Saccharomyces cerevisiae S288C: one gene and its partners. The main gene of each other region encodes a partner of the protein of the gene in region 2 in a complex. Each region holds a gene or a part of one and is shown on either strand. Other genes may lie near its edges. The genes, in order: SRB8, SSN8 and SSN3. A codon is read from its position in the direction of its gene.

Region 1 (3,622 bases), on a different chromosome or scaffold from region 2:
AATGACCAAATGGCATCTTCTATCTGGAATTCGTGCAAATCCTCATCTGTTGAATTTATTCGCAATAGTAATAATTTCGCTACCAGTTGATTAGATTCATAGTGATCAAATTGCCTTGATGGATGTATGGACCAGAGAATTAATTGAATAATTTTATGCATTGTAAGGGGATTTTGGTCAACGTAAGTGGGCCAATCGAATTCTGTAGGGTTATCGTCCAGTAGCTTGGTGAACTGAGTATCTATACAATTTAATTGAATGCATGATAGTTTTGGAAATTGTTTACAGGTGACGATAGTTAATTGAAAGTCATTTGCGTTGCTGGCAGACATTATTACGTTTCGTATAGAAGAATTATTCTTCAATGACTCGTTTCTGTAACTAATTAACTCTAATTTTTTCTTCATATCAGAATTTTGATTAGTGTCGGCGTTTGAGACTATTTCAAAAAGTAAGGGCTTGTAAATTTCCCAGTTAGATGTGGGAAATATAAACACCTCTAAAGATTGTTCTTGAAAAATTTTCAAAATTAAACTGGATAATATTTTGAGAATATTCAACTTTATCTTGTTGTTTTTCTTTATATCATTGATGATGTAGTTCTCGTCATTTATCATTGATTTGCTGCTGGAAACAATATAATATTTGTGCAATAGCATATCAGTGATTTTTGTTACCAGAAAGAAGGGCTCTTTTTGACTTGATGTTATTGTAGCCGCAACAGGAGCATTTGTATCAATTTGGCAGATGTCGTTCCAAAAAATCATCAAAATATGTAAAGATAATGGCAAAAATTCGAAGTTTTCCATCTTATTTATAAACTCTACAAGCCAATGATGAAAGATTTCCTTATTGATCAATCTTAGTGAGTAGCAATTCCCCAAAAGTTTTAAAAAATAAGAAATCTGCCTCTTCCACGTACGCAGTTGTTGAGAATCGTTATAGTGATTTGTCATATCAAAGATGAGCTTTTCCAGGATGTATACAAAGGTATCCGTCCAGTCCTTTAGCAGGTGCATGGAAATGGCATCATCTGCCCCAGCAGCATTTGACCTCTTCTTTTTGTGGTTCGATTTCCATTCGATAAAATAGCAGCACTTTATCAACCAAATCGCCCTTTTCAATGGTATAAATTTTAAATAGCACTGCTCGATGACTTGCCTTCTTTTCAAGCCGTGAGGTATAAACTTGCCAATTTTGACCAGCGAAGTGTGAGACGAACTCAATTCATGCAACCACGTTTCCTTTCTATGATCAGTAAGGGTTATTCTATTAGGCAACTGAAAACCAGGCCCGTGTAATGTCGTCGTGGAATTTGAGGGGATCTTATTAATGTGGTCTTCTCTAATCTTGATAATTTTGTCGAATTGCTGGGAAAGAATGTTGGATTGAGTGACTAATGATTCATGAACAGATGATCTCGCAGATATGGACTCGAAATTTACCATTGGTGTATGGTAAAAGCCCTTAGCCACAAAGTTTGCTAGGATTTGATCTTCTGCTGCAGTGTGCTCCCAAGGCTTGAAATCAGGGTATACTTGTTCCTGAGGTTTCGAGCTTGGCACATAGGGGTGAAGATCATCTGGGGGAGTCAGCAAGTATCGACCAGAACCGTTATTCATCGCGTTATTGGCTTACCTCTATAGACCTTTTTTTAATCTTTCGATTAGCATCAAAAATCTCAGCATTTTTTCAGAAAGGTGTTTAAAATGCGCTATAAAGAATATAAAAAGTAATATATATGTATACATACTAATAAAAGGAAGAAAAAAAATACAAAAGATGATTATCTAGGACTTGTTTCCACCCAGGGGGGTGTTTAGTTTAATTTTGTTTCGTTAGATTGTGCATTCATTAGTTTGGTTTCTCTTTGGGGGCCAGTTCTGTCAACATTGGGCCAGTTGCCCCAATTGGAAAGCCTAACCACCACGCAAGTGGCGTTGTCTGAGTGTTTAGTGGCTATTGCCTGAATAAATTTGATTGTCTCCTCTGCAACAAATTGAGGAGTCGCCTTTTTCAGTCCCCAGGAGTTCACCGTAGAGGTGATGAGGTCAACAACCTCTTGGTCTGCAAGTTTATTGGTGATGCCGTCGGTGACAAGCGCCAGGAAGCATTCATCACCATTGAAGGGCAGCTTCGACCTTTCAGATCGCGGCAAATGCAAGGTATTTCCGACAAGAAACGAGAAAATATCCGGCTCACTAGATATACCATACGGTTTCCCAGCGACATCACCAAACGATCTAGTGTTGGCGAAATTATTCAAAAACCTTGTCTCTCCAAAGGCGTCTGGGTCCAATCGAGAAGGGTCTATGCTCAAACGGTGTCGTTCCCTACTGGAATTGATGTGGTGAGTTGTTGTTAATGCGTGTGCAATCCCGTCTTGATCGCAGAGGATGATCTTAGAGTCGCCCACCTGCGTGACAATGAGTTTGAGCAATCCAGAGTGCGATATGATCCACGAGTCATCGTCTTTCCCCTCATCAATGGGTGCATTCGGATCATCATACGGATATAGAAATATGGACGACGCTGTGGACCCCGCTGCGGTGCCCAGGCCGCAGCATTGGTCGAGATCGAACCTGGCAAACCCGTAGAACAATCGCAGACGGTCTAGCTCAGTGAGCAGTGCAATTTTGTCAATAATATTCCCCATTTTATCAAAAATCATCCTGCCACCATTTTGTCCAAGGATCGCACTATCGCCCTCCTTCATCAGCAGCAGTTCTTGTTTCGAGTTGCAGTTCTTTATAAACTTGTTGTAGAATTTTTCAAACGTGGACAGCTTATGTTTCCAGTAATTTCCCTCGGGAAACCTTCTTGCATATTCCTGTACCAACTTCTTCAAGTCCTGCTTGTCCCAGGAGGGTTCAGGGAAATCCAGGCTACTGCACAATTTATCGGCTAACAACTGTGACAGTTGCGCACCTTTCTCCCCATGGCCATCGAATACAGAGCAGTTCAGGGCACTTCCATACGCATTAGGCCACGACCGCATCATTTTAATGGAGTAATTGTCCTGGTTCTCTAACCGGTTGATCCTACTCGTGGCGTGACCCACGTACCCTGGAAGACCCCGTAACAAGTCCAGCTTCAGCCCAACATTTTGCGACGGCTTGCAATACGCATAAGCATTCCCCAGCCGCATCAAATTCCCCTCTTCTGATGCTTAATTGCCCCGATTGCAGCCTGTTATTGATACTATTGTTATCACTTCCCTATTTGTTCTTCTCGCATTACACGAAATTTTTTTTTTCCTCTTCCTCTTTTTAAAGAAAGAAACAAGGTGAATGAAAAGAAACATGTACACCTTGAAGGAAGCAAAGGTTTTAACCGGAAGTAAGAGCAGCAAGAAGCACTAGCAATGTCCTTCTTTGGGTTAGAAAATAGCGGTAATGCGCGGGATGGTCCTCTGGACTTTGAAGAGAGTTACAAGGGCTATGGCGAGCACGAACTTGAGGAGAACGACTATTTGAACGACGAAACATTTGGTGATAATGTTCAGGTTGGTACCGACTTTGATTTTGGAAATCCTCACAGCAGCGGCAGCAGCGGCAACGCAATTGGTGGTAATGGCGTCGGTGCCACGGCTAGATCATATGTTGCAGCTACTGCAGAAGGA
Region 2 (3,494 bases):
TATGCAAAAGTATTATCAAACACTTTAGAAAAGGAAGAAAATGTTTTTGAAATAAGCCAACATGTTCTAGTATTTTAACTTGGGGGGCGTTTAATATTTCTGTTAGTTTATCAATTTGGCCTGCCATAAGAATTTCTGACAAAGGTTTTGTGGTTGCACATACTCTGAAAAATGGGGAAGTTTGAGCCACGGTTCACCCATCTTGAATGTGTGTTATAAGTGGGCTACTGCAGTAGACCAAATTGAAAGGATTTTTTGAACACTGGAGAAAAAAACACTAGGTTCGATTCTTTAAATTTAATACATGTCAAGGTCCGACCCAGCTTTCCACCTCAATATCAAAGCAATTTTTAATTATGCATTATAACGGTACCTATTCTCAATATGTCTTGACGTTCCAATATCATGTTAAACAAAGGTAGTCAAGGACGAAACATTTCCAAAACGGATCATCACCACCATAATGATTGAATTTACAGGCTTAACGGTTTTTAAATTTATTCTTCGCATGATTAAATTGCAGATGCTGGTCTAAGATACAAAGTATGTAGCAGAAACTTTATCCATTGTTCGTGGTACTTGTCCCAATGATCGTATAATGTAATTTGCTCTTGAATCGTATCCATAACCTCCTCAAGATCTACAAGAGATTCTGCCATAAAACGATTAAAAGCTATTTGAACAGGAGAACTAGAATTTTTAGGATCTCTGATGGCTTCAGAAGCCGCAGATGCTAACGATGATCCTTTGGTTGGTTTCCCATGAATGGAAATCGTAATGAATAAACATGCAACAGCGATAATATGAGGAGGGTAAAGCAAATGAACATCATTTATATAACTGTCGTTGATTAAGGACCAACAGTTTTGTAGATCATCTGACGATAGTGTTATTTGAAATGGCGGTTGCTTTAAGACTTGAACAATTTGCTTTAAGGATTGATAAGGGTGGTGGACAATTAAGTAACTTTCCAATTCTTCTAGTAAGTAGAACTCAAACTCAGTAACTTTAGTAGGGTCAGGAGGAATAAATTCGGGCCATAAGGTACGGGCTTCACTTACCAAAGTTCTGATATATTGCGGGCATTCTTCAACTTTGCATGCTAAATATACACACGTAGTAACCAGCATATATAGGTTTATTTCTCTAACTGAAGCCTTTATTAAAAACCTTGATAGATAAATATGTGCTGTAGCCAGTGCATACTGTCTTATATTTAGTCTCCTTCCAAGCTTCATTATCAGGAAATAGCAGTAGATCCTTAGATTATAATCTTTATCATAGTGTAAGTCTCGGTGAGTTATTGGTATATTCTTTGTGATGGATTGTTCGATGCCGTTTTGCTTCGAATCCATTACAATATTCAAACCTTGAGGAAACAGCTGGCACTCCAATAGCCATAACTTCTGCCTCTCTTTAGCCAATGATGCCTTGGTATATTGCCAATGATGCCTTTGTGTAGATGTCCAGAAGCTCCCCGACATGTCTAACTTTTGAGATTCAGATGCCTTATCGCTCTTCAACTAAAGTTTGAGAGGGCATTTTTTGTTCGAACAATATGAGTGCTAACAAGGTTGCTACCACATCAATGAACTCTACTCCTGTATGAACCCTAATTTTCCTTCATGAAAAATGAATTTTCGATGTTTTTCCGTGGATTTTATATTTTTTCAAATATATAAAGGAGTAAGAAAATAACTTTGTTTATCCTATGTTGCGGTAAAGAACTAAATAGTGGTCTTCACCTGTTTTCTAATTTCTTCTCGTTTAAAGTTCTTCAATCCATGACCAAAGAATCGTCACAAATCGAAGCTTACAAAATGGAGTAAAATTTTTTTTACTCAGTAATATGCTTTGGGTTGAAAGTCTCCCACCAATTCGTATGCGGAAAACGTAATGAGATTTAAAAATTTTAAATTGTTTAAATCAACTCATTAAGGAGGATGCCCTTGGGTATTCTGCTTCTTGACCTGGTACCTCTATTGCAGGGTACTGGTGTTTTCTTCGGTACTGGATTCCGTTTGTATGGAATCTAAACCATAGTTATGACGATTGCTCTTTCCCGTGCTGGATCGAGTAACCCAATGGAGCTTACTATTCTTGGTCCATGGATTCACCCCTTTTTATTTTTTTAACAGTTTGTTGTTTACACTACTTTTTAGCAGTGTAAAACTTTTGCATAGTTAAATATGCCGAACTGATCTAATAAAAAGTCTGAATAACTCAGATGAGTTATTTATTGGTAAACTTGTGTAAGAAGAAGATGGAATAGTGAATAATTCATCAAATGATGAAATACCAATGCAACAGAGTCAAGCTCTGAGTTTCAAAAAGAAACATGGACGAGATTGCTTTTTTATTACTGACCATGATTATTCATTACTTACCATTGTTCCTCATTCTATATAATTGATTGGGCACCACGTAAATTCTTGAGCCTTTTCGGTAGTATTCAATCGCAATATGGGGTAGTTTACGGAAGTGCTGTAAATGATGTCTAAAATGAACAACTATGCGTCCTTATTGTGACAATGAATTCCCTTCTTAAATCTCTATAGAGGTCGAATAGATGAATACTCAACACAAAACACTATAAAATAAAAAAAAATACAAAAGTGTTTATATTTTTGCTGTGCGTGCTAGCTCATAGCACCCTTACTTGTACGCTATCAGACGATAGAATTAAAGAGACACTTCGTCTGAATCCACTTATACTCTTTGTTTTAAAAGGTACTGCACCTTCTATGACCTTGATTTGCGTAACTTTAAATCCATATGACTAAGTATCTTCCAATCAGCTGTTAAATTGACTGATGGCCATCAAAATACATGCTAAACTAACATATGGACTGGCCCTTTCACCAACACGTGCCATTTTCCAGAAGGCCCCCAAAACCTCATGATTTTTGTAACGATCTAGGAGAGACGGCCACTGCCCATGAACATAAGAACATGAACAAATCAGTAACAATATCACTTGCAGAAGAGAACGAAAATTAAATAATGCAGACATATTCTGTCGTGGAAAAAGGACGCAACTTTGCAAAGTAAATCGATCCGGCTCTCTAGTTATTTTGCAAACGATGTTTACCGCTGTTCTGTCTTTATCCTTGAGTTGTCGTTGCTCACTCTATTGAAGATCAAAATTTCGCTCAAGAAGAGCAGTCCCACCATGCGTACACCACACTACAAAAATGAATGTTATATCGTTTTTTCATGAATTACAAATGTCTATCGAAAAGTTCATTACTAAATATAATAAGATCAGGATCATTAAGAGATAAATTCACTGTGTCAGGTTACTTCCTGATAAGCTGAAACAAGTGGGTTCTTTCCTTAAGATAATGTTCAAATTTACTAAAATCTGTAATTTCAAGAACGTCAAAATTTCTTTTAATCTTGTTGAAAAAATGTTTATCAGCTTTTCTTCTCTTCTTGTAAGCCATCAAGATTACAGGTGGGTTTATGCAGTGAGTGAGATCAAGTAGTGTTTT
Region 3 (3,622 bases), on a different chromosome or scaffold from region 2:
GCATACATCTGCGGAGAACAGGGTTTTAGCTCGACCTAAAATCAACCCATTATTTTACCTGAATGTTGCAGACTTGCATTCTTAGTGCCTCTAAAGCGAAAAATTGAAACTGTATGCCGATTTAAATACTATAAAGATAAAAAAAAGTTTAATGAATATAATAGTGACAGTGCTGTGGAATGAAAAATTCCAAATATATATAAAAATAGAAGCCTATCTTCTGTTTTTCTTTCGAGATGGCTCATCTGATGCATTGTTTCCTGACACCGCAGCAGCGGCTGCTGCTGCCGCGGCCAGAATTCTACGGTTAACACCAAGCCCACCTAACGCATTTGCAGCGGCACCTGCGGTGATTCCTGAAGCTTGTGTATTGTTTTTCGTTCTTGATCCAAGATTCATGATGTCATTATCGTTCGTGTGAATTCTTCTTGCCGGGTATTTGTAAGTTAGACCTTCAAATACATTTTCACTAACAGGAATATCACTTTCTGTGAAGTACTTATGTTCCAACGCATTAAATGCATCTATTCTTTTAATTGGATCATAATTTAACAAGTGGTAAAGTAAGCTTAAAGCATGCTTGTCCCTTCCTCCCGCGGAATGATACCATGTAGCAAGGTTATCCCTATACTTTGGAAACTTCGTAATTTGATCATATTCTGGATACTTCTCCAAATAAGGCCAAATTTTTTGATCGGGAGTGCCAAGAACTTCCAAAATTCTCTGTAGTTGATTCACTTGAAATGGAACAGTCTTTTTAGAGTCTAGTTTAGCTTCTTCACCTTTAAATATGGGCTGTAATCCTATCAGTTCTGCAAAAATGCAGCCAACGGACCATAAATCAACCGCAGGGGTATAGTGCCGTGCTCCCAATAGCAACTCAGGTGCACGGTACCATATAGTGACAACCACTTTATCCCCAGTATAGAGGGTTTGCAGCATATTATGAAATTTTCTGGCCAAACCTAAATCACCAATTTTAACACATCCATCTATGGTCACCATTATATTTGCGGGTTTCAAATCTCGATGAAGCACCCAATTTTGATGAAGATACGATACGCCGTCTAAAAGCTGCCACATAATAGACCGAACCATTCTTGGTGGTATCATCCTTTTTTCGGGATGGGAATGGAAGTGGATAATTTGTAGCAGATCATGCTCCGCATATTCGTATACCATATGGACACATTTCCTTTCCAAAAAAATTTCCACTAATGTGGTTAAATGCTTGTTGTGCAATTCTCGACATAATGCCATTTCTCTACAGGCACTCTGAGATATTCCCGTATAATGCAATTGTTCGACGCCATCCTTCTCTGTCTTGAACTTTTTAATGGCATAAAATACCGTCAGCGGTTTTTTAATGAGGGTTTGTTTTTGGGAATTATAGTGCGGGGATACATCTTCCCTCGTAGTTCGTATTCTTCCGGGGGTCACTCCTTCATCCTTTAACAAGTTTCTTCTTAATGCGTTTGTATTTGCCTGCATGTCCATTGAAGAGCTTGATTTTGGTTGCGTGCTGTCAAACTGCGGAATTTTCGCATTGGTACCATTCAGACTAGAACCATTAGCGGAATTGGTACCGGAGTTGATTTGTCTTTTCGCTTTGTAAACTTTACCATATGTGCCCGCAGCAATGTAGCCAATAACTTCGTACTTTTCTAAGACAGATACCCGCATTCTATCTTTTCTTGCCCTATAAGGTCCAATAGTAAAAACATCATTATTGGCCATTAGCATCGGGGCTTTTCCATGCACACTTCCGATTGTGTTTTTCTTTCCAACGAACGATTGAGCTTGCTGTTGTCCTTGTACCTGCATAGGCCTTTGGTACATTGGCTGATAGGAGTTTTGTGCTCTATCCTTGCCATTATACATTTCTCTCTCCTCCCGTCAAAACTAGGCGGCCTTAATTCAATTGGGAAGCAAAATTACTAACTTCAGTATACCCTTCCGCCTTTTTTCTTTCCTATAAACCTTTCTTGTATCCTTTTTGTCAGCAGTGATTGTGGGATAACTTTCAAGTATTGAAGCGGGAAAATGAAACGCAACTTAAGCCACACCACGTAATTCTTGAAGACTTTTGATGTATGATATTTATTTCACTGTTAAAAAAAGCTATAATTTCCTCTAATCAAAACTCTCTAAAACGAAATCAAAAATATTCGTAACACATATATAACGAAGTACAATATATTGGGAATCTATAAATCATATGCCGAGTGCGCAACTTCAACTGAAAACAATAATCCGTCTCTGGGCCAGAAAAAAAAAAGGAAAAAAAAGCTTTATTTCTTAATAAGGTGCTTTAATTTTTGAAAGGGAAGAAGCAACCATTTCCCAAAATATGGTGCTCCCCAGATACTAATGAAAATGCGTACCGGATATAGTAATTTTACTGTAACGTAGGCTACTGTGCCAGATAAAATCAACTTGTTTTTGTTGAGGCATTCCTGATATCTCTTACCAACAAATTTCTCCATAGCTGTATGACAGCTATCCATTAGGCCATTTAAGAAGTTTGGGAGCTTAAAATCATCAGAAAGATCGAGGTTATAAAGTAACCACCATAGTAGAAACAGTGGTAGTATGGCAGTTACCTCATGCAAGATGAAGAATGATGTAAGTGTTGGAACCGTGCCGGCCTCACTGAGGCGGTCGAAATAGTGTGAAAATTTAGGATTCTTGTTTAACCTTGTTAAAAGTCGTGACTTGGAAAATATTTTACGTAGTCTATCCTCCCTTCTTTTCACTGGATCTAAATTTCCCGATATGAATCTAATTTGGGTTGATCCGCCGGGCCTGGTGTTCATAAACGTGGTCAATTGCGTTGGCCTTTTAAGCATGAGCTCCAACGGTCCAGAGCCCATCTGCAGTTGACAGGGCCTGAAGAAAAGATTCATGACAGTCATGTTCCTGGTGAGGGTGCCTTGGGTGTAACACTTATCCTTACACGGTCTCTCAAAAGCAATATTTTTACATTTCTCTTCTTTGCTTCCTGTTCGTATAACGCGCTGAGAGCTGGTAAGAACAATAGGCCGAGGCCCTGCATCAAAATGTCAGTAGGGGACCTGTTAGGTACCCACTAATAAGTACAAGAGGGTTTTTATTTTCTAAGAGCCAATAATTGGCATTCTTTATATACAGGAAAGGTACATGTCATTCAAGACATGAGATGATCCACAGCTTCTTTACATCTGTCACACAATTTATCCTCTTCGGCTGAGTTGGCCTTCCAACATCTGGGACAGTTGTGCCTTTTGCTTCGTTCAACCAATATTTGAACGTTTATTCCGCTTCCCAATTCAATAGTTGGTAGACTGTTATTATTATCGTCCATTTGCAATATATCAACAGCAGATGATTGCAATATGTCGCAAAGCTCGTCAGAACTGAATGGGAGGTGATGCTTGGTGAAAATGGTAACGTGACTATGTGTTGTTTTGGTGACACCTTCTTCTAGACTTAACCTCTTGAATTCCTCCTGGAACTGTTTTAGAATTTTTAGTTCAAAGTTTTCAAAGGAGGTGACGATTTCCGTATTTGAGTCCAAAAACGGCCATTTTCCACGCATCGGATTAATGTCTATATGTTCTTGTCCTTGTAACCATCCTTCTGG

Evidence for each region.
Region 1: the proteins of SSN8 (region 2) and SRB8 are in contact, whole or in part, in a cryo-EM structure (PDB 7KPV), measured with the Saccharomyces cerevisiae proteins. Residues at the interface, in NP_014373.3 of Saccharomyces cerevisiae: Ser2 (codon at 1,481), Gly3 (codon at 1,478), Ser4 (codon at 1,475), Phe5 (codon at 1,472), Trp6 (codon at 1,469), Arg11 (codon at 1,454), Tyr79 (codon at 1,250), Met83 (codon at 1,238), Arg87 (codon at 1,226), Arg92 (codon at 1,211), Gln93 (codon at 1,208), Ser183 (codon at 938), Leu184 (codon at 935), Lys185 (codon at 932), Gln186 (codon at 929), Ile187 (codon at 926), Val190 (codon at 917), Pro195 (codon at 902), Phe196 (codon at 899), Ser202 (codon at 881), Leu205 (codon at 872), Gln206 (codon at 869), Asn207 (codon at 866), Trp209 (codon at 860), Ser210 (codon at 857), Leu211 (codon at 854), Asn213 (codon at 848), Asp214 (codon at 845), Pro225 (codon at 812), Pro226 (codon at 809); in NP_010004.1 of Saccharomyces cerevisiae: Asp14 (codon at 1,583), Leu16 (codon at 1,577), His17 (codon at 1,574), Pro18 (codon at 1,571), Tyr19 (codon at 1,568), Val20 (codon at 1,565), Pro21 (codon at 1,562), Ser22 (codon at 1,559), Val29 (codon at 1,538), Tyr30 (codon at 1,535), Pro31 (codon at 1,532), Asp32 (codon at 1,529), Phe33 (codon at 1,526), Lys34 (codon at 1,523), Pro35 (codon at 1,520), Tyr55 (codon at 1,460), His56 (codon at 1,457), Pro58 (codon at 1,451), Met59 (codon at 1,448), Val60 (codon at 1,445), Asn61 (codon at 1,442), Phe62 (codon at 1,439), Glu63 (codon at 1,436), Ser64 (codon at 1,433), Ile65 (codon at 1,430), Ser66 (codon at 1,427), Ala67 (codon at 1,424), Arg68 (codon at 1,421), Ser70 (codon at 1,415), Val71 (codon at 1,412).
Region 3: the proteins of SSN8 (region 2) and SSN3 are in contact, whole or in part, in a cryo-EM structure (PDB 7KPV), measured with the Saccharomyces cerevisiae proteins. Residues at the interface, in NP_014373.3 of Saccharomyces cerevisiae: Ser2 (codon at 1,481), Gly3 (codon at 1,478), Ser8 (codon at 1,463), Thr9 (codon at 1,460), Leu31 (codon at 1,394), Arg92 (codon at 1,211), Tyr94 (codon at 1,205), Phe106 (codon at 1,169), Lys109 (codon at 1,160), Ala110 (codon at 1,157), Glu114 (codon at 1,145), Ile115 (codon at 1,142), Asn116 (codon at 1,139), Met119 (codon at 1,130), Leu127 (codon at 1,106), Lys130 (codon at 1,097), Val131 (codon at 1,094), Glu132 (codon at 1,091), Glu133 (codon at 1,088), Cys134 (codon at 1,085), Arg146 (codon at 1,049), Pro150 (codon at 1,037), Glu151 (codon at 1,034), Phe152 (codon at 1,031), Ile153 (codon at 1,028), Pro154 (codon at 1,025), Pro155 (codon at 1,022), Asp156 (codon at 1,019), Lys159 (codon at 1,010), Thr161 (codon at 1,004); in NP_015283.1 of Saccharomyces cerevisiae: Leu48 (codon at 1,740), Met49 (codon at 1,737), Ala50 (codon at 1,734), Asn51 (codon at 1,731), Asn52 (codon at 1,728), Val54 (codon at 1,722), Phe55 (codon at 1,719), Thr56 (codon at 1,716), Ile57 (codon at 1,713), Pro59 (codon at 1,707), Tyr60 (codon at 1,704), Arg61 (codon at 1,701), Arg63 (codon at 1,695), Lys64 (codon at 1,692), Asp65 (codon at 1,689), Tyr197 (codon at 1,293), Gly199 (codon at 1,287), Ile200 (codon at 1,284), Gln202 (codon at 1,278), Cys205 (codon at 1,269), Arg206 (codon at 1,266), Met208 (codon at 1,260), Ala209 (codon at 1,257), Leu210 (codon at 1,254), Arg212 (codon at 1,248), Glu213 (codon at 1,245), Glu224 (codon at 1,212), Ile225 (codon at 1,209), Leu227 (codon at 1,203), Glu228 (codon at 1,200).

What each region holds. Positions count from the first base shown.
Region 1 is NC_001135.5:252,371-255,992, reverse strand, and holds the start of SRB8 (Srb8p), read right to left. Parts: upstream 1,623-3,622; coding exon 1-1,622. Other genes in the region: type 2C protein phosphatase PTC6, read right to left, coding at 1,820-3,148; deadenylation-dependent mRNA-decapping factor PAT1, read left to right, coding at 3,365-3,622.
Region 2 is NC_001146.8:583,808-587,301, forward strand, and holds SSN8 (cyclin-dependent protein serine/threonine kinase regulator SSN8), read right to left. Parts: upstream 1,485-3,494; coding exon 513-1,484; downstream 1-512. Other genes in the region: KSH1 (Ksh1p), read right to left, coding at 2,795-3,013; EFM6 (putative protein-lysine N-methyltransferase), read right to left, coding at 3,300-3,494. UniProt on the Saccharomyces cerevisiae protein: Component of the SRB8-11 complex. The SRB8-11 complex is a regulatory module of the Mediator complex which is itself involved in regulation of basal and activated RNA polymerase II-dependent transcription.
Region 3 is NC_001148.4:472,827-476,448, forward strand, and holds SSN3 (cyclin-dependent serine/threonine protein kinase SSN3), read right to left. Parts: upstream 1,882-3,622; coding exon 214-1,881; downstream 1-213. Other genes in the region: MRX11 (Mrx11p), read right to left, coding at 2,292-2,915; isoleucine--tRNA ligase ISM1, read right to left, coding at 3,167-3,622. UniProt on the Saccharomyces cerevisiae protein: Component of the SRB8-11 complex. The SRB8-11 complex is a regulatory module of the Mediator complex which is itself involved in regulation of basal and activated RNA polymerase II-dependent transcription.